Alligator mississippiensis: one gene and its partner. Each later gene encodes a partner of the first gene's protein in a complex. Links are inferred from orthologs where the notes say so. Each region holds a gene or a part of one and is shown in the gene's direction. Other genes may lie near its edges.

Evidence for each region.
Region 2: the proteins of RAD18 (region 1) and UBE2B are in contact, whole or in part, in a crystal structure (PDB 2YBF), measured with the Homo sapiens proteins. The link is inferred for Alligator mississippiensis from reciprocal best matches to the Homo sapiens genes RAD18 and UBE2B. Residues at the interface, in NP_064550.3 of Homo sapiens: Tyr342, Arg343, Lys344, Lys345, His346, Lys347, Glu349, Phe350, Leu353, Val354, Gln356, Ala357, Arg358, Lys359, Gly360, Tyr361; in NP_003328.1 of Homo sapiens: Pro20, Val22, Gly23, Val24, Ser25, Gly26, Ala27, Ser29, Glu30, Gln35, Asn37, Ala38, Val39, Phe41, Gly42, Pro43, Glu44, Glu49, Asp50, Lys54, Leu55, Val56, Leu73, Ser74, Asp151, Ser152.

The regions. Positions count from the first base shown.
Region 1 is NC_081835.1:14,536,258-14,546,815, reverse strand, and holds the start of RAD18 (E3 ubiquitin-protein ligase RAD18), read left to right. Parts: upstream 1-6,425; 5' UTR 6,426-6,501; coding exon 6,502-6,555; intron 6,556-7,581; coding exon 7,582-7,663; intron 7,664-10,558. UniProt on the Homo sapiens protein: E3 ubiquitin-protein ligase involved in postreplication repair of UV-damaged DNA. Postreplication repair functions in gap-filling of a daughter strand on replication of damaged DNA.
Region 2 is NC_081832.1:70,118,598-70,128,953, forward strand, and holds the start of UBE2B (ubiquitin-conjugating enzyme E2 B), read left to right. Parts: upstream 1-6,133; 5' UTR 6,134-6,227; coding exon 6,228-6,271; intron 6,272-9,756; coding exon 9,757-9,837; intron 9,838-10,356. Other genes in the region: CDKL3 (cyclin-dependent kinase-like 3), read right to left, coding at 17-181. UniProt on the Homo sapiens protein: E2 ubiquitin-conjugating enzyme that accepts ubiquitin from the ubiquitin-activating enzyme E1 and transfers it to a E3 ubiquitin-protein ligase. In vitro catalyzes 'Lys-11'-, as well as 'Lys-48'- and 'Lys-63'-linked polyubiquitination.

The DNA.
Region 1 (10,558 bases):
CAGCTTGCCATCCAGTAGGACAGCGTGTTTCCAGAATGTCTTGGAAGAAAGTAGGAAGGCTAATGTACTGAACTACAGGAAGATGGCTCAGTGACAGAATCATCTAGAGCAAGTGGAGTCAAAGATGCTGAAAAACTTCTATGGAAGTTGCATTCTTGCCTGATTGATGCTTAGAATAAAATATGAAATTTGCCAGGTGCCAGCTATTTTCTGTTTCTACATGTGACAGACATTGGTTATGTCGGCTAATGCACTACTGGAAGAGGCTCAGATGCTGTGGTAAGGAGGCTGGCTTGGGAGTCTTTATAGAATGGAATACTAAAAACATAGGAAATGGCAGCGTTTTAGATCAGTGGATCCCAAACTCTGGCCAGCAGATTATTGGTAGTCCTTTATGTCACAGCAAATGGTCCATGGATTGCTTCCTCCTTTCAATGGAAAATGCGATAAGAAAGGTATGTGATGGTCCATGAGAAATTTTGAGGGGTAGTACTGGTTTGTTGGTTCTAAAAATATGTGGAATAACTGTGTTAGAAGCTAGCCAAATCCAAACTTTTAAATTGTTTCTATATGAACAGTACTTTCAAAATGGCCTCAGTACCCATGGAACTTGAGTTTTAACCTCACAAATGGCACCCTTCTTATTTAGTCAGCCTCTGGTCCTGTGACATTTCAGAAAATCCACTGGCATCTTCTGCACCATTTCACAGGTGATAGTGGCTCATCAGTGCTATCTGATATTTTTTCTTCCAGTTTTTCAATCAGGTTTTGTAACATTTCCCTCTCTGGCAGTCAGAAAGGTAGATCAGGCCCAATTATCAGAGAGCAGCTGTGGTGGTAGGGCCAGTGTTTTTGGGTGGCGTGCCAAGAAAAATCCACAACGTCTACTTGTAAGATGTTGGAGTCCCGGGCAAACAAAATGGTGGAGGGGAGGAGTGTTGGGGCGAGGGTGGGGGGTGGGGTGGGTACTTGTTGGGATGCACTGCATATTATTATGATTAATAATCATAAATGTTATTTTTCTGCAGCAAATACAAAATGTGAACAACCTGGTGACAATAAATAAAACTTCACATACTACAAACAGGAAGAGAAACACAGATGGATCTTCCTCCTGGGTGTCTGCTACAGCTGGCCTGGGCTCTGGGCAGCTGTAGCAGGTGGTGGGCAGGCTGCAAAGAGCCCCTGCACTGGCTCTGTGGCAGTGGTGGCTGCATGCACGTCTCTGGGCAGTCAGCAGGGGAGGTGCCAAACTGTGGTGCCATTGACCCCTTTCCAGCTGTGGACCGGGAGGCATGCTCCCAGCCATGGCTGCCACAGAGTCCCGTGCAGCTGTTTTCAGCCTGCCAGCTGCAGCTGGCCTGGGCTCTGGGCTGCCACTGCCTGCCATGGAGCCTGGGCTGCTTTCAGCTGAGCTGGCTGCCTCCTGATATCAGATTCATCCAAAGAACCTTGTCTGCCTACGTCCTTAGACCAATACGGCTACAACCTACACCCCTCTACCACCAGTATCATTATTAATAAAACAATCGGGGTTCATGTTGTTAATGACGTGATATAACTAACTTTATTTGCAAAAGGGAGAAGTGGTAGATATTCCTCAAGTTAATCATAACAGCTGTCATTGCTTTTGCTGTGGCAGAAACCAACCTGTCCGGTAGATTCTGTACCTCAGAAAAAGGTGTCGAGGCAAATTAACCCATGCTACTACTTGCTTGAAATCAGTGAAGACAGAGTAGCTGAGGCAACAGTGAATATAATTAGCAGTCAAAACCTAATGGATTGAAGTTTGGATTTAGCCATGCTATCCAGGGCATGGCTACATCTTGCTACTTCATCCTTCATAACATAGCTAAGATCCAGGCTTCCTTTTCCATTCACACACATAGCTAAAACTCTCACCCAGGCTGTTGTCATCTCATGTCTCAACCACTGCAAGCTTTTCTTCCTTCCCATCCTTGACAAATGCCATCTTATACCACTAAATATCCATTAAAAATGCTGCTGCAAAAATATTCTTTCTGGCTTCAACCTTGTTAGCCTCTCTTTGTAAACAGAATAAGGCTGATGATGATGCCACTTGGTGTTTGCCATACTGAACAGTATCTTTGTACAAAATCATGACGGTCAAAGAAAGATGCCACCGCCGGGATCCTACAATGTACTCTGTATATACATGATCTTACAAGTTAGTGTGCCAAAAAGAGCTTCAAGTCTTGAAGCAGTGACCAAAGGATAGTTCTAAGAGGAACTTGAAAGCAGAGAGAGAAAAAACTAATAACAGTACTGTATCTTCAGAGGCAATTGTGGCCCTTCAGAAGCAGCGAGGGGTATAAAATTCAATTAAAAACATCACCGATAAGGTAACTTGGGATATGTGAGCTCCACAGTTTGCAGGAAAAGGAAGGGATTTACCTTTCACAGCTCATCAAAAGAATGAAAATATGGTTATCGTCTCATAGTGGTTCTTTATACTGTATTGGGTCATCCCCTTTGTATCTTGGTTAAATGAAAAGATTTGCCAGCTTGGAAACTGAATGAGCTGAGCGTCTAGAGACCTGCACATTGTTGACACTTCTTTTTTAGAAAAAGTTTCTGAATTTTTAAGTAACGTTCCATGATACTGCCTCAAAATGCAAGAGTCTAGTCACGGCATCCACTCTGGTTACTCTGCTGAATCTGAGACGAGCACTGGATTAATTTATCAAGATATTTGCAAACAAGAGAGACAAATGACTTGATCTTCTGTGCTAGGCTTAAAGCAACAGTGGAGAAAGTACTTGCTTACACATCATTAATTGTGAAACAAATGCCTTTGTAATTTTTCCCTGTGCATGCTTACTTGTAAGTTGGAAACTTTATGAGAACAACATAAAAGTAAATATTATAATACAAAATGCATGTGTAATGTGTGCAGTTACACTATAGGGGGCCTATAATTTCATGTCACAAAAAGGCAGAAAATATCAATGACACTTTGGAGCTGCATTTTTTTGGCTTATTTCAATAAGCCACTGAGGGAAAGACAAGAAGAAAAAAAAAAGGGGGAAAGGAGAGTTTTTTAAGAGGAAAAGGAGAATAAAGGAAATGATAATAATAAAATAGGGGACATTTGGGAAGAATAGATTTGATAAGGATGGATTGTAGGCCTATGTAAAGCATTTGGACTGGGAGCAGACATTATAAGGAGCAAATTCACTGTGTGGCCTTCCCCAAATATATAATTTTAATTTTGTTTATGTCTTACATTTGTTCTAACATACATATTAAAAGTCATAGTACTATATACAATGCACAGTGTAATCCAATTCTGTGACTAGCCTCAGGAGTGAAGAAAGACTCTGCACTTGCTCAAACCTAATGGAAGTAATGCTTATTAAATTCAGAACAATCCAGGGTCCCTGCCACATGTTACATATATTACACAATTAACAATTAAATCGCACAATAAATTTAGACTGATCATGAGTCCAAAATTAAGACTGGCCACACATACAAAGTAATCATCATGCCATAAAAATGTCTATTCAACTGTAAAAAGGGGCAACCAGGTACAAAGTTAGTGCTTGAAACTGTGTAATAACTCTATGGCTCCTGCTACATATATTACACAATTAACTGGTAAATTGTGCAATAAATGTACACTGGATACATGTGCAAAGTAATTATTACATAATTGACTGGTTAATTGAACAATAATGTTAGACCAGGCACATATGCAAAGTAATAAGGCACCTGCTATGCTACATATATTATCCAATTAACTGGTGAATCGCACAATATACGTAGACCTGCCACACATGCAAAAGTAAGACTGACCACAAGTGCAAAGTAATTATCACGCAACTAACTGGTTAATCGGATGGAAGTTAATAAACTGACTTCCATTCAGCTTTAACCTGAGGGCCCTAAGCTGAACTTGCTGTCAGTGATATGATATTAGTAGCCTTGAAATGGCCTATTGAAGGCTTCTCATAGGAGCCCCTGACTAGCTTTGTTAATTTTATGGCTTCAAACAGCTCCCCCACACCCACTGATCTACTTTGCCAGCTGCCTTCTCTTTACTCTACCGGTGCCCCTTTTTGGGCCTTGCTGCATGTTCAGATTAAAGGTGGATAAGAAACCAGCTATAGAGCTGTTACACATTTTCAAGCACTTTGTTGCTGGTTGGCTCTCTTAATAGCTAGAAAGTAATTTTTACAGTGTGATAATCACTTTGCACCTGTGGCCAGTCTAAATGTATTGCATGCTTCACCAGATAATTGCATAGTAATTATTTTGCACATGTGGCCGGTCTCCCCTTGCATGTGTGGCTGGCCTAAATCTATTGCACGATTTGCCAGTGAATGGTGCAATATATGTAACGTGTAGCAGAGGCCTTTATTTTCAGTGATGGGGAGGAGGTTTCAATGTCAAAGTAGACAGTGGGATGGATGGACGCACCAGAGGCTTGGGCACTTCATCTGTACGCAGGTAAGTGGCCTGTGTGAGAGGGGGAGAGGCAGGGCAACGTGAGGCCTGGGCACCGTTGGATTTTTGTGCCAATGGTGCACTGAAGGTAAAGCATACGAATGCAAGAAACTGCAGCTGGCTGCACCCACCCGCGGTGCCTCTAGCCCAGTGGGTCTCAACTGTTGTAGACCTCAGGCACCCCTCAGACTGTGTTCACCTGCATTGCCAGGTCTTAACTATGAAATTATTGTACTGGAAGCTCAAAAGTATCATATTTCCATTCTCATTAAAAAACTAGGGGACTGTGGCATCGATACCGATCAGGCCGCAGTTGGAGTACTGTGTTCAGTTCTGGGTGCTGCACTTCAGGAGGGATGTGGACAGCATCCCTGAAGGGTCCAGAGGAGGCCACTCGCATGATCAGGGGACAGCAGGGCAGGCCGTACGAGGAGAGGCTATGGGACCTGAACCTGTTCAGCCTCCATAAGAGAAGGCTGTGCGGGGATCTAGTGGCCTGTTACAGACTAGTCAGGGGGGACCAGCAGGCATTGGGGGAGTCCCTGTTCCCCTGAGCACTACCAGGAGTGACTAGAAATAACAGTCACAAGCTGGCAGAGGGTAGATACAGGCTAGATATCAGGAGGTACTACTTCACTGTCAGGGCGGCTAGGATCTGGAACCAACTTCCAAGAGAAGTGGTGCTGGCTCCTACCCTGGGGGTCTTTAAGAGGAGGTTAGATGAACACCTTGCCGGGGTCGTTTGACCCCAGTACTCTTTCCTGCCATGGCAGGGGGTCGGACTTGATGATCTGCTCAGGTCCCTTCCGACCCCGACCAACTATGAAACTGTAATAGCTGAAAAATGGAAAAAATGCAAATAACTCTTTTTCTTTACTTTATATTGCTCACTTGAAGCAGTGAGTGAGCGAGAACTGGGTCATCAAAGTGGAAGTGTTTTTTTTTTATTTTGAGGCAAGCCGTCATAAGAAAGCACTGACGGCCAACCCCGAAGTTGGCGAAGACTCCCTCAGAGCGACTCGGGTTTGGCACGTGCTGTGTCAACTCCCCGCCTTGACAGGTCTCGTACATTTTGAAAGAGGAATCGGGACTCATGGGAGAGGTGATATCTTTTATTAGACAAACTAGATATTTGCAAAAAAAAAAAAAAAATTGTTAAATATTGTTTAATTTAAAAATACATTTTGAATGCTTTTACTCTCCTACTACCTTTGAAATGACCTCACAAATATGATTATTGATAATATTATCATTATAATCATTATAATTATAATTAAGTTAATTATGATACTATCCTTGAAATGACGACACAAACATGATAATTACTGGTAATTATGATAATTATCATACTGATCATTATGATATTATCATGATGATCATTATAATTATAATTATAATTATAATTATGATACTATCCTTGAAATGACCGCACAAACATGATAATTATTGGTAATTATGATAATTCTCATACTGATCATTATGATATTATCATTATGAGCAGTATGATCATTGTAATGATGAGAATTATGATACTATCTTTGAAATGCCCGCACAAATATTATAATTATTGATAATAATCTTATCATTATGATCATTATAATTGTAAAAATTATGATACTATCTTTGAAATTACCGCACAAATATAATTATTGATAATTATGATAATCATTATGATAATGGTGATAATGATCACTATGATCAGTATGATCATTATAAGTATGAGAATTATGATACTGTCCTTGAAATGACCGCACAGATATAGTAATTATTGACAACCCCGCGGCGGGGAGGTCGCCGCATCTCCCGCCTTGGCGGCCCCGCCCCCCCAGAACCCCGCCCTCCGCGGGGAGATGGCACGTGACGTCAGGCGTGGGGGAGACGGGGGAAACCGCGAGCTCCGGCGGGCGAACTACATCTCCCAGCGGCCCCCGCGGCGCCGACCCGGAAGTGTGACGCACTGCGGGCGCGCGATTCGGACGCCGGTTGGGCTGTTCCCGCGGTGCCACCGCTGCCCCCGCCGGTCCGCCCGCCATGGCTCTGGCGCTGCTCGAGCCGCGCTGGCCGGAGCGGCTGTCGCCGCTGAAGGTGGGTGCGGGGACGGCCGGGGGCAGGGCGGCAGCAGGGAGGCAGCGGGAAACCCCGGGGCGCTGGGCCCGGCGCGGGCTCTCCGTGGCCCGCGCGCTGCAGGTGGGGGCGGGGCGGGAGAAGGGCTTTCTCTGAGCAGCCTCCAGGGTGGAGACTGCCCGCCCCTGGGTTACCACCCTGCGAGTTTTGCACGATATCCAAATTAAACCTCCCTTGCTGCTACTTGAGATCATCGCTCCTCGTCCTGTCATCTGTCACCTCTGAGGACAGCCCAGCGCCATCCTCTTTCTACCCCTGCAGGGAGTTGCAAGGTGTCACTAAATCCCGCCCTCAGTCATTTCTCCACACTCAATAACCCCACTTCCCTCCTCTTCTCCTCAGCAGTCGTGTGCCCCAGCCCCCGAACTGTTTTATAGCCCCCCCGGTCCCGAAGGACGACAGACAGACCTGCTGTTTCCATTGAACACCCCCACGTAACCTGTGCATAGGCTCACGGACAGGGTTGGCAGGGGCCGCGGGAGGTTGCATCTCATCCGAGCCCTGCTCAAAGCAGGAGCAGCCCCAGTTTCCGTCTAACGGAGATGAGACCCCACCACCTGCAGCTCCCCGGCAGCCCCCGACCGTTTGCAGTCGTGACACATGCTGGGGGCAGTGGGCGACCGACCTGTTCAACTTCTTTTGCATCCCATGAGGGGGCAGGGTTAATTGCGTGTGTACATAAATCAATGTATATGGAGAATACATTCGTGCAGATTGCTTCTCCCCCTTATATCTTGGCTCCACTGTATGTACACTCTGCAGTCCGTTTTGCTTGCATCTGCCCGTGACGTGCTAGGGGCACGCGGTAGGGACCTTGCCAGAATGGCTGCAATGATATAAAGAGACTGGACCAGGCATATCAGGGCCCGAGCAATGATACAGGTGCAGGGATGGACTTTTGTCTGGAGGTACAAACAGGTGTTGTCCTGAAGCAATGCTTTCAGTGGTGCTTTTGGTGACGCCAGTGATAATTTGTTCCTGTTGCAGGCAGTGGACGACTTGCTGCGTTGTGGGATATGCTTTGAGTACTTCAATATTGCAATGATCATCCCACAATGTTCACACAACTGTGAGTACAGGACAGTTTCATATGAATGTGCATGTATTATGCTAGTGTTTGACTTCTGAATTTTGCTCCATGATCAGATTGGTACTGGGGCAGAGGGGGCGGGTGGGCTTGCCTTCCTCCTGTCGCAGGGGCATGGCCCATGGCCTGGGATCTCAAGCATATACTGACAGTATTTCATAGAAGCACGTCTTTAGCTGCCCTGGTTCCCCTGCTTTATCTGTGACAGGTTAGGGGGTGAGGTCTGTGTTGTGTCATGGGTGACGGCAGTCTTACGTAGAATTTAGATGATGGATTGTATGGGATGGTTTGGATGGGGATGATCCTACCTCAGGCAGGGGGTTGGATTAGATAATCTCTGGGGGTCTGTTCCAGCCCTTCTTCTCTGTGATTCTCTCTGACTTTTATTTCACGCCCTCATCTGTCTTACTACCTTCTTAGCCTCTCTCTGTATAAAGGAGAACACAGGTTACTTACTGCTGGACTGTACCAGTTGTCGTAGGACTAACATTATAGTGTGTGCTGGGTCGCGACAAATGCCTGCCACTGACCTAGTAGTTACAGTTTCCAGCCACTTGACATTGACCAGATGCCAAATGTGATGCGACTGAATTGGGCCCAAAGTGTGTGGTTAATCAGTATATACAGAGAATACATTTGTACAGATTGCTTCTCCCCCTCATTTTTCTCCATTGTGTTTAAAGTCTATAGTAAATTTTGCTTGCATCTGTCCATGACATGCTAGGGCAGGAGCGGGCAATTATTTCAGCTGGAGGGTTGCTTAACAAGTTTTGGTGAGCTGTCAAGGGTTGCAAGGTTAGCCCTGCCCCTTGACAGGTGCCCCACCCCCTAATTCAGCGTTTTCCAACCTCTTTCACCCCACAGCACACTTACCTAAATAAAAAAGCACCACGGCACACCAGATGTGGAGTTGGGGTAGTGCATAGCCAGCCGGACGCTGACCTGCGGGTGGAGGGAAGGGCATGTGGCCAGCTGGATGGCGTTTTGGGTTGGAACTACACCCGCTGGCTGGCTGGAGCCACGCTCCCCATCTGTCTGTGTCCGCAGCAGCAGCAGCAGGCGGGGGGCATAGCTCCAGCCCAAAATGCCGTGGCACATCTGGACGTGCCTGATAGCGCACCAGTGTGCCACGGCACACCGGTTGGGAAACGTTGCCCTAATCGCCATCTTGGGACTGGAAGCCCCTAACCCCTGACATTTGACACCAGAAGTCATCCATATTGTCTTCTCCCCCCCACCCACCCTCCCTCCCATGGAAGTAATCCTTCTGGGAGGGGGGGTTGCCATCTTGGAACCAGAAAAAAAAAAATTGTATACTCAAATCAAACTACTATAACACATTTTAATTTTATTTTAAAAAATATTTTGGCCCTGATTTATGTGCTTTTGCATAGTATATAAAAAGGTGGTTGCATAATAGTTCAAATAAAGTCTTACTCTTCTACGTTGTGTGTAGAGGGGCATGGGATGTGGTCGGTGGGTGTGTGTGTGGGATTTGTGGGGGGTGTGGGGTTTCTGAAGGGGTATGGGTATGTGTGCCTCCTCCCCCATGGTGTACAGCCTCCGTCACTGACAGCAGCAGTAGCAGGTAGAAGCACAGAGCCTGCCCATTTTGATGGTGCATGACCTCTGAAAGTCTGCCTCCTGCTGGCTTTCAGAAGAGCAGTTGCAGGCCGGTAATAATTTTTTGGAGGAGCCCAATGGGCCGGATAGAATGGCCTGGCAGGCTGGATCCATATTTTGCCCACCCCTGTGCTAAGGGCACATTGTAGGGATACCTTGTCAGAATGGTTCCAATGAGATAGACTTATTCCAGTCTCCCTATCAGGGCCAGAGCAATGATACAGGTGGAGGGATCACTTATAATCCATTTAAACTCACCAGAGCTTAGGGATGTGCTGTTGTTTTACTCCAGTTAGCTCAAACCCTCCTGTCACTTATCCCAGTGATGTGCAGTATGAAATCTCACCAGAGGTTTCCTCATAAAAATTCCTCTTTTTCAATGTTTCACATGCAAAATTATGATCTGACTTCTTTGGAATGCAGTGCTCAACTTATGGATTCCTGACAGACATTTCCTTTTTAAAGTATATAGTTTTCTCAGTCACTGTCTAATCAGCAAAGAGCCCTAGATACTAGTGGCTATGAATGAAAGGTGCTTTCAGAAATGCAAGCTGTATTTTGGACAGTAACTTTTCTTGGCCTACCAGATTAGAGCATAATTCATCTAACTGCTTAATATAGTGCTGGTCCCAATTTGTTGCCTATTGTTTACATTGGTTTTCTGTATACGAGTAAAGTATCTTAATCACTTAAGCCCAAAGCATTTTTGAGCCCCACTGCCTCCTTCGTAACTTAATTGCATCCCATTTGACTGTACCAGCAAGAGCGAAGGGGAAAAAATCTATCAAATGGGTGCTATCTGAAGCCTTTAAAATTATAGGAGCTAGTCAGTGTAAGGCAGTCAACCTTTTGGGCAGGCATAACCCAAATTAGTTATACACCCTCCCCAAGTGTCATCCAGTCTCCTTCCCCTGCCTGATCTGCTGCTCTGCTTTTTGCTTCTTGCCCTATCTACTGCTCTGTCCTCTTGATTTGCTTGGCACATGCAGAGGCTGCCCATATTAGTTGTGGCACATGTTTACAGGCAGCTGCTACCTCATCAGTGACAGCACTGTGTACTTAATGAGCATTGTTGACATTCAGTTTGGATAGGTGTATGCTCCAAGTAGTGCCTAGCTATTTTTCAGTCCCGGACCATGCACTTAGACAGAGTACCCTGTACAATCCCTGTTCTTGCAAGAATGCAGAGATCTGTTGCATGAATTTATCCATTTAATATAACATAATTTTTATTACAAAGAGGATATTTGTTAC
Region 2 (10,356 bases), on another chromosome or scaffold:
GTCAAAAGAAGCAAACCTTTAGAAACTTTATTTCTCTCATAGCAATTTTGTTGACAGATTTTTCTGGTTTCTCATAGAATATTTTAATTGCTACGATCTGTCCTGTTTCCTTGTGCTTGCACTTTATCACCATTCCATAACTCCCTTCTCCCACTTTTCCAAGGTTGTCATACATTTCCATCTTCAAGTCCGAATCTTTAGATCTTCACAGAAAGAGAAAAAAGTTAAAAAATTAAAGAATAGCGTGGATCTCAAAACTACGTGCGTAGTTTCACGTGGCATTAGCAAGTGGCAAAAACTCCTGCAGAGAGCCTGATCTCAGTTGAACATTTCACATATTTCTACGGGTTCCAGTTATGAAAACTGTCAGTGAGAACTAGAATCAGTTCCACAGCATCCCCACGCCATTCTCACATATGTTTTCTCATTAAAAAACATGTGGCTTCAGTGGCAGGACTGGATTCATACAGTTAGTCAGAAACTTCTCAACAACTACAGCTTTAAATGCAGTACCTATCCTTTGAAGGGGGGACCACCCTAAGCAAAGGATTGTCTAGGAGCCAAAACAATGAATGGATTAGAAGAGACAAAAGCAATACAAGAGGCAAGAATTTCTTAGGGCGATATCTTTTATTGGACCAATTACATAGTCGGTCGGCAGTCAGACGAGCTCTGGAACGTAAGACGTTCTTCCTCGGGTCTGTGCGTACAGGAAGCCAGGCACCCGAGTGCTGTCTGTGGTCAGCTTTTTTGGTTTTTTCCCTGTCTGCCACACCTGAAACTTTCTCTCAGCCGCTCCCCTATGCAGCGCTCGACTTGCTGCGCCTGGCGTCCTCTACCCGGAGATGGGAAGAAAGTCTTGTATTCGAAAGCTTGCCTAACTTCAGCCCAACTACACAGAATCACTAAAAATTAGTGTTGCAAGGGGCCTCGGGAGGTCACATCGAGTCCAACCCCTGCTCGAGGCAGGACCAGCTCCAAGTACATCACCCCAGTCAGGGCTTTGTGTAGATGGGTCTTAAAAACCTCCCAGGATGGAGACTCCCCCACCTGTCTGGGTGACCCGTTCCAGTGTTTTACCACCCTCCCAGTGAGAAAACTCTTCCTAATATGTAACCTAAAGTCCCCTTGCTGCAACTGGAGCCCATTGCTGCTTGTTGTCACCTGCCCCCACTGACAACCGGCCGGCTCCATCCTCCTTCCTGCAGGGAGCTGAAGGCTGCTATTCAATCCCCCTCGGCCTCCTCTTCTCCAGACTACATAAACCCCGCTCCCGCAGCCTCTCCTCGCACGTGTCCCCGCCCTGTCACCCTCTCGTCGCCCCCCGCTGGACTCTCCAATTTGCCCACAGAAGGGACCAAGCGCTTCCCTTGCCCTGCTGGCAATACAACGCGGCGCAGGACAACGGGAGCCTTCTCGCCCGGCCTCCCGCACCTCCCTGCCCCGTCCCGTCCCCCACCGCCGAGGGGCCCGGCCCGCTGACCTGCGCACCGCGGCTGTCCATGGCGCCGCCACTAGGCCCCGTTACCACAGCAACAGGCAGCCAAGCCAACCGCCGCGGCCTCATCCCGTTCCACCCGGAAGTGGAGCGGAAGGGGCGGGGCCTCCCTGAAGCGTCCCGGTGACTGCGCATGTGCGGAAGGGAGCAGGGAAGTGGCGGCGCCTGCAGTGCCTTGGCGTCCAGCACGAGCCCTCGTGCGCATGCGCGCGGGTAGGGCCTCAGGCTTCGTCGGCCTGCGTGTGGCAGATGGTGCTGGTGGGGCAGGAGCGTGGTGAAAACCTGCTTCAGCCGGGAGGCCGCTGAGCTCAGGGGGCAACTGAAGAGAAAACAGGGACGAGGGGGCAGGGCACAGGTTTAGATGAATTGCTCCAAGTGAGGGGGACCCTGAGCGGAGCACACCAGGCAGGGCCTGCCGGCCCCAGACAAGGCCGAGGAGCCAGTGGGCGCTGCCCGGTGAAACTGCCTGGAGGGTGAACAGGCCAAGGACAGGAAAACAGCCCTGTAGTCCCTGGGGGTGGGGGTGTTACTCCTGGCCAGAGGCTCCTTCCCAGCCAGGAGGAGGGGAGGCCCCAGGGCCACGTGGGGCCATGTACCAGGAGTGCACAAACAGCAAGGTGTGGGATGGGAGTAGGGCATCAGGAGGTTGAGGAGGAGGCAGGCAATGAAGGGGCTGCGGCCTGGCACAGTCCAGGAGGGCGTACGCCAGGGTCTCCCTCTGCTCTCAGAAGGGGCGGGTGTCGGGGGTGTCCATGAACTCAGCAGATGCATTGTGACAGCTCTGTGGAGGAGCCGCTAGCTGTGGGACCCAGGATATGTGAGCAAGGTGGACCCATGGAGTGACTGTAAACAGCATTTTTTAATGTCCTTATAAATACTTGCAGGCTGGTATATTTCCTGGTTAATATTTATCTTGGCAAGGGGGCGAGCAAATAGCAGATGTCAAGGAAGTACCTGTAATACTGAATTATTGGATGCTTTTGTTTCCCCTTTGATCTTCATTAAAAGACTGCATGACTGTAGGATTGGTTCTGCCCTTCTAGGGAGGAGCTGCCTGTCTCCATCACAATTTGTACCTAGCAGAATGCAGCTCCAGACTCATTCTGGGGCCTCCAGGGGCAATGCAAATAAATAATGCAAATCCATTTCTCACAATTCCTTTGATTACTGTATATGTTGCTATCATTATTTTATTAAGATTATTATTTTATTCAGCAATATATTTTATTGCTTGGGTTTGGACACGTTAATGCAAGTAACGAAGCTCTGCAGGGGCACTGCAGAACTGAAGCCTTCACGTCTTTTGTTAATTAAGGTTTGCGGGATTTATAATATTTAGCGCACACGCAAGCAGCCCAGCTTCACTGCTATTTCCTAAGTTCCTTGAGGCTTATTAAGGGGTAATTGTCTGTTATGTACGCATGCAAGATAATTTTCTGTCTTACTGGTTTTCTAACTATAAACTATTTTAGATTAGCAGAAGGAATGACGCTGTCCAAAATTTGCCAGTTTTTATTTCATTTCAGCTGCCATCATAGGTGGCAGAAGGCTGGGGCTAATGGGGCATAGCCATAGACCATTACGTTATTCTTCAGACTTCTTGAATGAAAAAAATCAATTATCTTGTAGGGATGACACTGTAAGAAAAAAAAGTCATTAGAAAAGTTTTTCAAACTGGAATAGAGGTGGTTAGCCAGGTGAGTCAGAAGTCAGACAGAAGGCAGGGCAGGGTGGCACCTTAAAGACTAACTGGTTCAGAGAAAAATGAGCTTTCATAGACAAAAACCTACTTTGTCAGATGCTATGAAGTATGTGAAATGCATCCGATGTCATATCTTTGTCAGCTGCTGTAATGCATTATTTCATGATGAATCGAAAATAATTATTCCCATAGTGAAAGCAGGGGGTAACTATAGTGATAACATCATTTGCCAGTAAACAAACAATCACCAGCAGACATAAAACAATTACCTCCTACAGTGAGATCTTGGGTAATCTTCCTAGCAAGAGAATGACACGAGAAACCACAAACCACAGAGAGGGCTGGCCTCTCTTTTAGTGCTGAAGTTGTGACTGAACTTCAAACTTAACCATGAATTCTTTTAATTGGATGTAAAAAAAAATAAATTTCATATAATCCAGTTTAAGAATGCTACATCAGACTTCCTGAAATAAAGTTTACAGACCCTTGTTTTTATTTTCCCAATATACTAAATTAATTGAAATGTTTCTTTAACCCCTGAATAAGATTGAAAAAAAAAATCTTTTGAGTAAAAATGCATGCGACAGATCCATTCTTTTGGACAAATTACTGTATAACCTTGACATGAACAAGTTTGTATGGAAGGGTAACGCTGCCCTCTGCTGTATGCAACCAAAATGGCTCAGCTATGTGTCATATCATAAGCTACACAAAAATCTAGATCTCTTGGTTCCAAAATGATACCTTTTATTAAACCAACGGAAAGGATTTTTTTTTTTTGTGTCATTTCTAAGTTGATCTAATAAAAGGTATCATTTTGGAACCAAGAGTTTTAGGTTTTTGTATTTCTTTTTGTCTCAGATCAACACAGCTACCAAATACACCTCGTATCATAATCTATACACTGCTCCTGCTTTGAAGGTTTCTGTAGAAGGGTAGTCTGTCCTTTTAAGGATCAGTTGTTTGAGGCTGAGCTTTTTTTTAAGAATACGTATTTGCCCCTGTAGAGGGAATTATCAGGTTCAGCTGGGAAAAATGCCTGATTCCCTAGTCTACAGGGGCGGGCAATTATTTTGGGCGGAGGGCCGCTTACTGAGTTTTGGCAATCCATCAAGGGCCACGTGACAGGCAGCCAGGGCCAGATAAACATTCATTTTCTAAATTTTTTAGGGGCCCCACAGGCCAGATAGAATGGCCTGGTGGGCTGCCTTCAGCCCACCCGTGCTGTAGAAATAAAAGCTTAGTTGGGAAAGAAGATATACAGTTGGTTGTAGGAAGGTGAAATGTTCCTGGGGTAGTGACTAAGGAAGTCTTAATGGGGTGGGCCTTTGGCAAGGAAGACCCTTGGTTAGGTGCAAAGCAGTGGTTGGATTAGAATGATTTGGGTGTTTTGTGTGTGGCTTCCCTTTTCCCTTCTTTAAAAAAAGACTGTCTATCCAATGAATTGCAAAAGAAGGGTGTGAACAGATTCTGGGTATGTTGTTAGATTAATGGCAGATAGGTTCCTTAAAGAGCAGAGAACTGTACTTCTGGAGTGAGAGCTCTTAAATTGTGCAGCAGCAGCAGCAGCAGGAGAACAGCTCCGACGTGTAACATTAATGCAGTCAAGTCACAATACAGTTAAACTAACTAAGTACTTAGCAGGGCCAGACTTGTACATGGCTTTCGAGAACACAGCCCTTTTCCTGAAGAATTCAGAGCTTGCACTTAATACAAACAGCTTGGAGAGGAGGGAAACAGACAGCAAAGGAATGTGAAGTGCGCGCGCGGTGGGAGAAGGGTGTTCTGAAAGCTTGTACGGCAACGAGCGTTGGCTCCTATTAGTGTGAGGAATAGTTCTCCAGGATTGAAAGTGGGCTTGATTTCACTTACATGGGTCTGTGTTTTCTTACTCCGATTTTTGAAAAACTTGTTTTGTATCAGGGCCGATTCTGCGATCCCTTATGTCAGTGCCTAAATCAAGGGGTTAGTGGTTTCAGGGCTGTAGGATAATGGGTCTAAGTGCGTGTACTTGGCATGCTTTAGCAGGTGTAGAAAAGCTTGCAGGACAGAGATCTTCAGTTGCTTTGTGTTCATATAGTACAATGCCAGCCCTACTTACTTATGGAAGCAAGTAAAAGAATAAAATAACCTCCCCCCCTCCCCCCTACATAATACTTAACAATAGGGAGCTAAATTGCTTCCTGAAACAACAGAAACTGGTGCAGGGGGAATTCTCTCTCATGGTAGATGCATTAGAGCAGAATCACTTACAGGCTTGTACCAAGCTCAGCCTAGCATTAATTAGCTTAGCGTCGCTCATCCGGGAAACCCCCACCAGCCGCTATTGCACGCCCCACAAACACTGCTGCAGGAGTTACACGAATGAAGGGCCCGATGCATCTCTGCAAGGACATAAGCAAGGATGCGGGGCGGGGAAGCCATCAGGCAGGGAGCTGCCAACTTCTGCAACTTTGAATCTTGAGGTGAGGGGGTGTCTAAAACCCCGAGCCTGGATGCGTGAGATTTTTCAGGTCTTGATTTAAAAAAAAAAAAAAAAGACCTGAAAAAGGCTCCTTACAATTGGCAATAAAAATGGAAAGGGCATGCAGTCTTCTGCTCACAACTTAGTGCGAGCACACGCTCATTCTCCGCCCCGCGGCTGCGACCCTGGAGGTTTCTGCCGGTTGTCATCGCGGCCGGGTTTGCACCGCGCGTGCGGACCCCCCGGCGCAGCCGGCTGGGAGGAAGGAACCAAACACGGCGCAGCCCAAGCGACACGCACGGGGGTGTTCTCCTCTGCCCCCCTCCGCGGCCAGGCCCAATGGTGCATCCCGAGCGCGCTCCCAGAACCTCCCCCGCCCGCTGCCCGGTGTCTGTGGCGGCAGTAGTACATTCCGCTACCCCCCGGCTCCCGCGGCAGTGGTACATTTCGCCCCGCCCCCCGCGCGGAGGGAGACGCCATTGCGGGCTTGTTTGCGCGGCGGCGGCGGCGGCGGGTTACGGCGGAGCTCGCGGGACGGGCCGGCGGCGGGCGGGCGGAGGAACATGTCCACCCCGGCCAGGCGGCGCCTCATGAGAGACTTCAAGAGGTGGGTGTCCGTGAAGGGCTCTGGCCCTGGGGTTGCTGCAAGGGGGCGCCGGGCCCTGCTTCCCCCGCGGGGGTCGGCCCCGGGCTGTGCGGGCCGCTTGGCACGGGGATGGGGATGCTGCTGCCTCGGGTGGGGGTTGGGCTGGATCCAGCCTTTCAGGACAAGACCCAGCACCCCTCGCTCCTGCCCCCGGGGTGTGGGGCCGCCGCGAGGGAAAAGCCCGCGCTTCCCCCCCTTTTCCAAGTCGGTTTGCCACCCTTCCCGATACCCTCGCACCCCCCTTTTTGGGGCTTGACCCACAGGTTGAGAAAGGAGGTTGTTCATAGACATTGGGGGCCGGACGGGACCTCGTGAGATTGAGTCCAGCCCCGGGGATCACACTTTTTATTTACTTATTTATTTATTTAGCAAAAATCTCGTTGGTTTAATAAAAGAGATCCTCTCTGCTACGAGTCCTTGATTGCCTTTTCCTCCAGACCAACACAGCTGCCACCTGGATGCTTAGCCAGATAAACACTCAAATGCCTTTTAAATGGTCCCTCCCAACCCGGCTTCTCCAGGACTCGCTTCTCCCAGAGGAGTCGGGCTGGGAGAAGTCGGATCCCGTCCGGCCCCCGCAGGGTTGTGCCTGTCCAAACTGTCCTGCACGTGGTCGAGGTACACGGCAGCGATGGTAAATGTAGTAGTAACGGCGGCGACTGCCGTGCTTCTGGACTTGGAAACTTTGGACACAACGCGGTGTGTTTTGCGTGCAGGCGGATCCCCGTCATAGAGCACCTTATTTTTGTGTTGCAGTGAGCGTGGGGGTCATTGATAGTCTCTTTTTTTGTAATGGGAATGCCTTGAATTATCCCACTTGACGTAAATATATAGGTATGGTGTGGAAGGTCTTTGTTACGCCGTCCACGTTGTGTGGTTTTTGTCAGCTCTGTGTGAGTTGAAGGCACTGAGACATTCACACAGATGTACAGAAGTTGAGGGCTGGAAGGGACTTCGTGAGAGCATCGGGTCCAGCCCCCTTGCTCTGGACAGGAAAGACAACTGGGGTCAAATAACCCCAGCAAAGTGTGTCCCTTACTCAGGCAAAACTCTTGTTCTCTTTAAAAGGAGTTGGCCTAAATTATTGGAGGCAAAACTCTTGTTCTCTTTAAAAGGAGTTGGCCTAAATTATTGGAGGCAAAACTCTTGTTCTCTTTAAAAGGAGTTGGCCTAAATCACTGGAGATGACTTGGTTTCAGTAGTGCCACTTTATTAGTGGTCACTGTATTTTATTGCAGTATCTGCAAATGTGTAAGTAAACAGTTGACATGGGCTATATATGTATACATAATATATAGCAATGTTAAAAGTTTGATATGCAACTAAAATGTTAGGAATTGAGTTGAGGTTTAGAAGTTAGTTACCTGTCAGCAGTCTTCCCAGGTATTGTATAATGCAAACATAACATCGTGTAGTTCCTTTTAAAGCAAAAAAGGACATCTAAATCCTGTTCCTAATGGTGGGTCACAATGAATATAAAAAAACCTGACTACTTATGGCACTAATGGATAAGAATTGCTTTTGGAGACACTGATTCTGTTGTTAACATCGGAGGTGGATAAGTAAGTAAATAAATACTCTAAATAGATGCACTGAAGCACAGAATGAGTGTGCATTTATCTAACCTAACCATCTTGTACCTCCAGGCTGAGCTCATGTTTCTTTTAAAATGTCAGTCTCTTAACATTAGGGGGAAAGGAAATGCGTTTAGTTTGTTACTAACAATTACTTCAGTCTAAAAGTAACAGCATTCAGGTTGCATGTTTTGCTGTGAACTCTGCTGTGTTTATTGTGGTTGTGTGGTGGTGATGAGAGAAGAACTTGACAGATTATTGGAAGGCTGACCGTTCTTTAGTTCCTTTGAATAAAATTAGAAAAATACTAATTACAGCTCTTAGAAAAGGAATACGGATGCTATAAATACCACATTATCGCTAGCTCTTAAATATCTCTAGGCTCTGTTCAGGCAAGTTAAGCTTCCAGTTCAGGCCATAAATTCTCTGTAGTTAAAGATGTTCCCACAGCATAGTATGGGGGGAGCTTTGTCCTGATTTAAGAACCAAAGCTATCTCAGAACAGCACTTAAGTTTGCTGCTTAGGCTTTGATACTGGCAGGCAATCTGGTTTTTCCGGTAGGAAGAAACTGTTCCCCAAAGTGGTGGGTATGATCTGTTGATATTGAACTGTGTAAATTGTGAAAGGTCAGAAAACAAGGATGCTTAAATACAGGTTGGGAAGGACGCTGTGAATCTCGGGCAGAGAACTCCCTGCTGCTAGTTTGCCTTAGCGGCAATATTGGTGCTTGATGGTCAGCGTCCTTGCTAATATGTCATTCTAAAACATGATCCCTCTTGTGGACCTGAAGTGGTGGTGAGGGAACCAATTGGGGATTTATCCTGACTTCTGATGTACAACAGAATATCAAATCAAAATCTGTTTCTTGGCCTATCCCCTTAGTGCTTGGGTTTCCTTAAATACAATACATTTCTTAGTGCTATGGTGAAGCAAGTTTGGCTGTTTGGTTTGTTTTGGAAGTGCTTCAGATTTCAGGTTGTATGCAAGTATGTTGGAGAAGGCATAGTACCAACAGGGTAGTACAACATCTGTATTAATCCAGGGATTTATACAGTCCTAGGGCAAAGGTCTTGGTCTCTAAACTCCCACTTCATATACAATACTTCTTTGGTACCATGTTTTCCACTAGGAAATTGATGCATTCTTACTAATCCAGAACGTACGTGGGTGTGTGTGTGTCTAAATAAGTTAAGATGCTTCTATGACTCCTTTAAAGCACAGTGTTTTCAGGCTAAGAAGGAATGAAGAAAACAGTACAGCGATGTTTCTGTTTACCTCTTAGAGCAATCGTCCTGCTGGCCAAAATTGTTTTGATTTTGAATGTTCAGAATTTAGCCAGACCCCACGCACCATCTTGTCTACGTTCTTGTAGCTTCCAGTACGTGCATACTATAGATAGTATTGGTTGGTTTCCGCAATAGTTGCAGTTTCAGTGTGTCAATTTGTGGTTATAAATCATTTTGTTTTCGCTGCTGCAGCCAGCAGGAGTGATTCTGAATGTTCATTATTTCATCGTTTGACGTACAGAATGTAAAACCCAGATGTACAAGGTGTTTCATAACTGCTCTTATTTGATGGAGAAACGCATGCAGAAACGCATGCTATGCTTCTCTCTTTTTTTTTTTTTTTTTCTGTTGGTCTGTCTTATTGTAACAAAATATTTGAACAGAAAATCTGCTTCTGTCTTTGGAACATTTAATGTACATATAACCTTAAACTCTGCATTCCATGTTCTTTTAGGATTAGAGAATTCAGCAGATCAGTGCAAACTCTAGACGCGCACACACGTGTATGTCTTTCTAACTATTACCAGATTGTGTGTGTGTGACTTTTTAACAAGTATCTTACCACTATTTTTTTTTAATTTTTAGATTGCAAGAAGACCCTCCTGTGGGTGTCAGTGGTGCACCATCTGAGAATAACATAATGCAGTGGAATGCAGTTATATTTGGGTATGTGCTTTTCTTCCTACTCATTGTACAAATGATAATGCTTAAGGGCTAAATACAGGTTTAAAAAGATAATAAATGATTCTTTGAAAACTTTTGAGACACTTATGTGTTCATAGATTAAGTAAAAGTAAGTTACAGAAACTAAGGGGAAAACTAGCATGTATGCTGTTTTGTATGTATTCACTCCCCCTTCAGAGAGGCACAGTTAAATAAGTTTTTCTCCTGTTGTAGTTTTTGAAGTAAAATATATATATATTTTTTTTAGGTGGTCAGATTTTGTGCCCATGAATAGTGAATACCATTGAACTTATGTGAAGGGTCTAGTAGAAGTTCTAGAAAAGGCAGGATTCTCCTAAAGAAGCATGTAATAATTCTGTTCCACTTAACCAGGAAATCTAGATATGTTAGCAGGGACCAAGCCAATTTCCACGTACCACCCCCACCCCCCCCCCCCCCCCAATATAATTCTCTGGATGCAACTTTTATCTAGATACATTAGCTATCCCGCAGAGTCAGAAT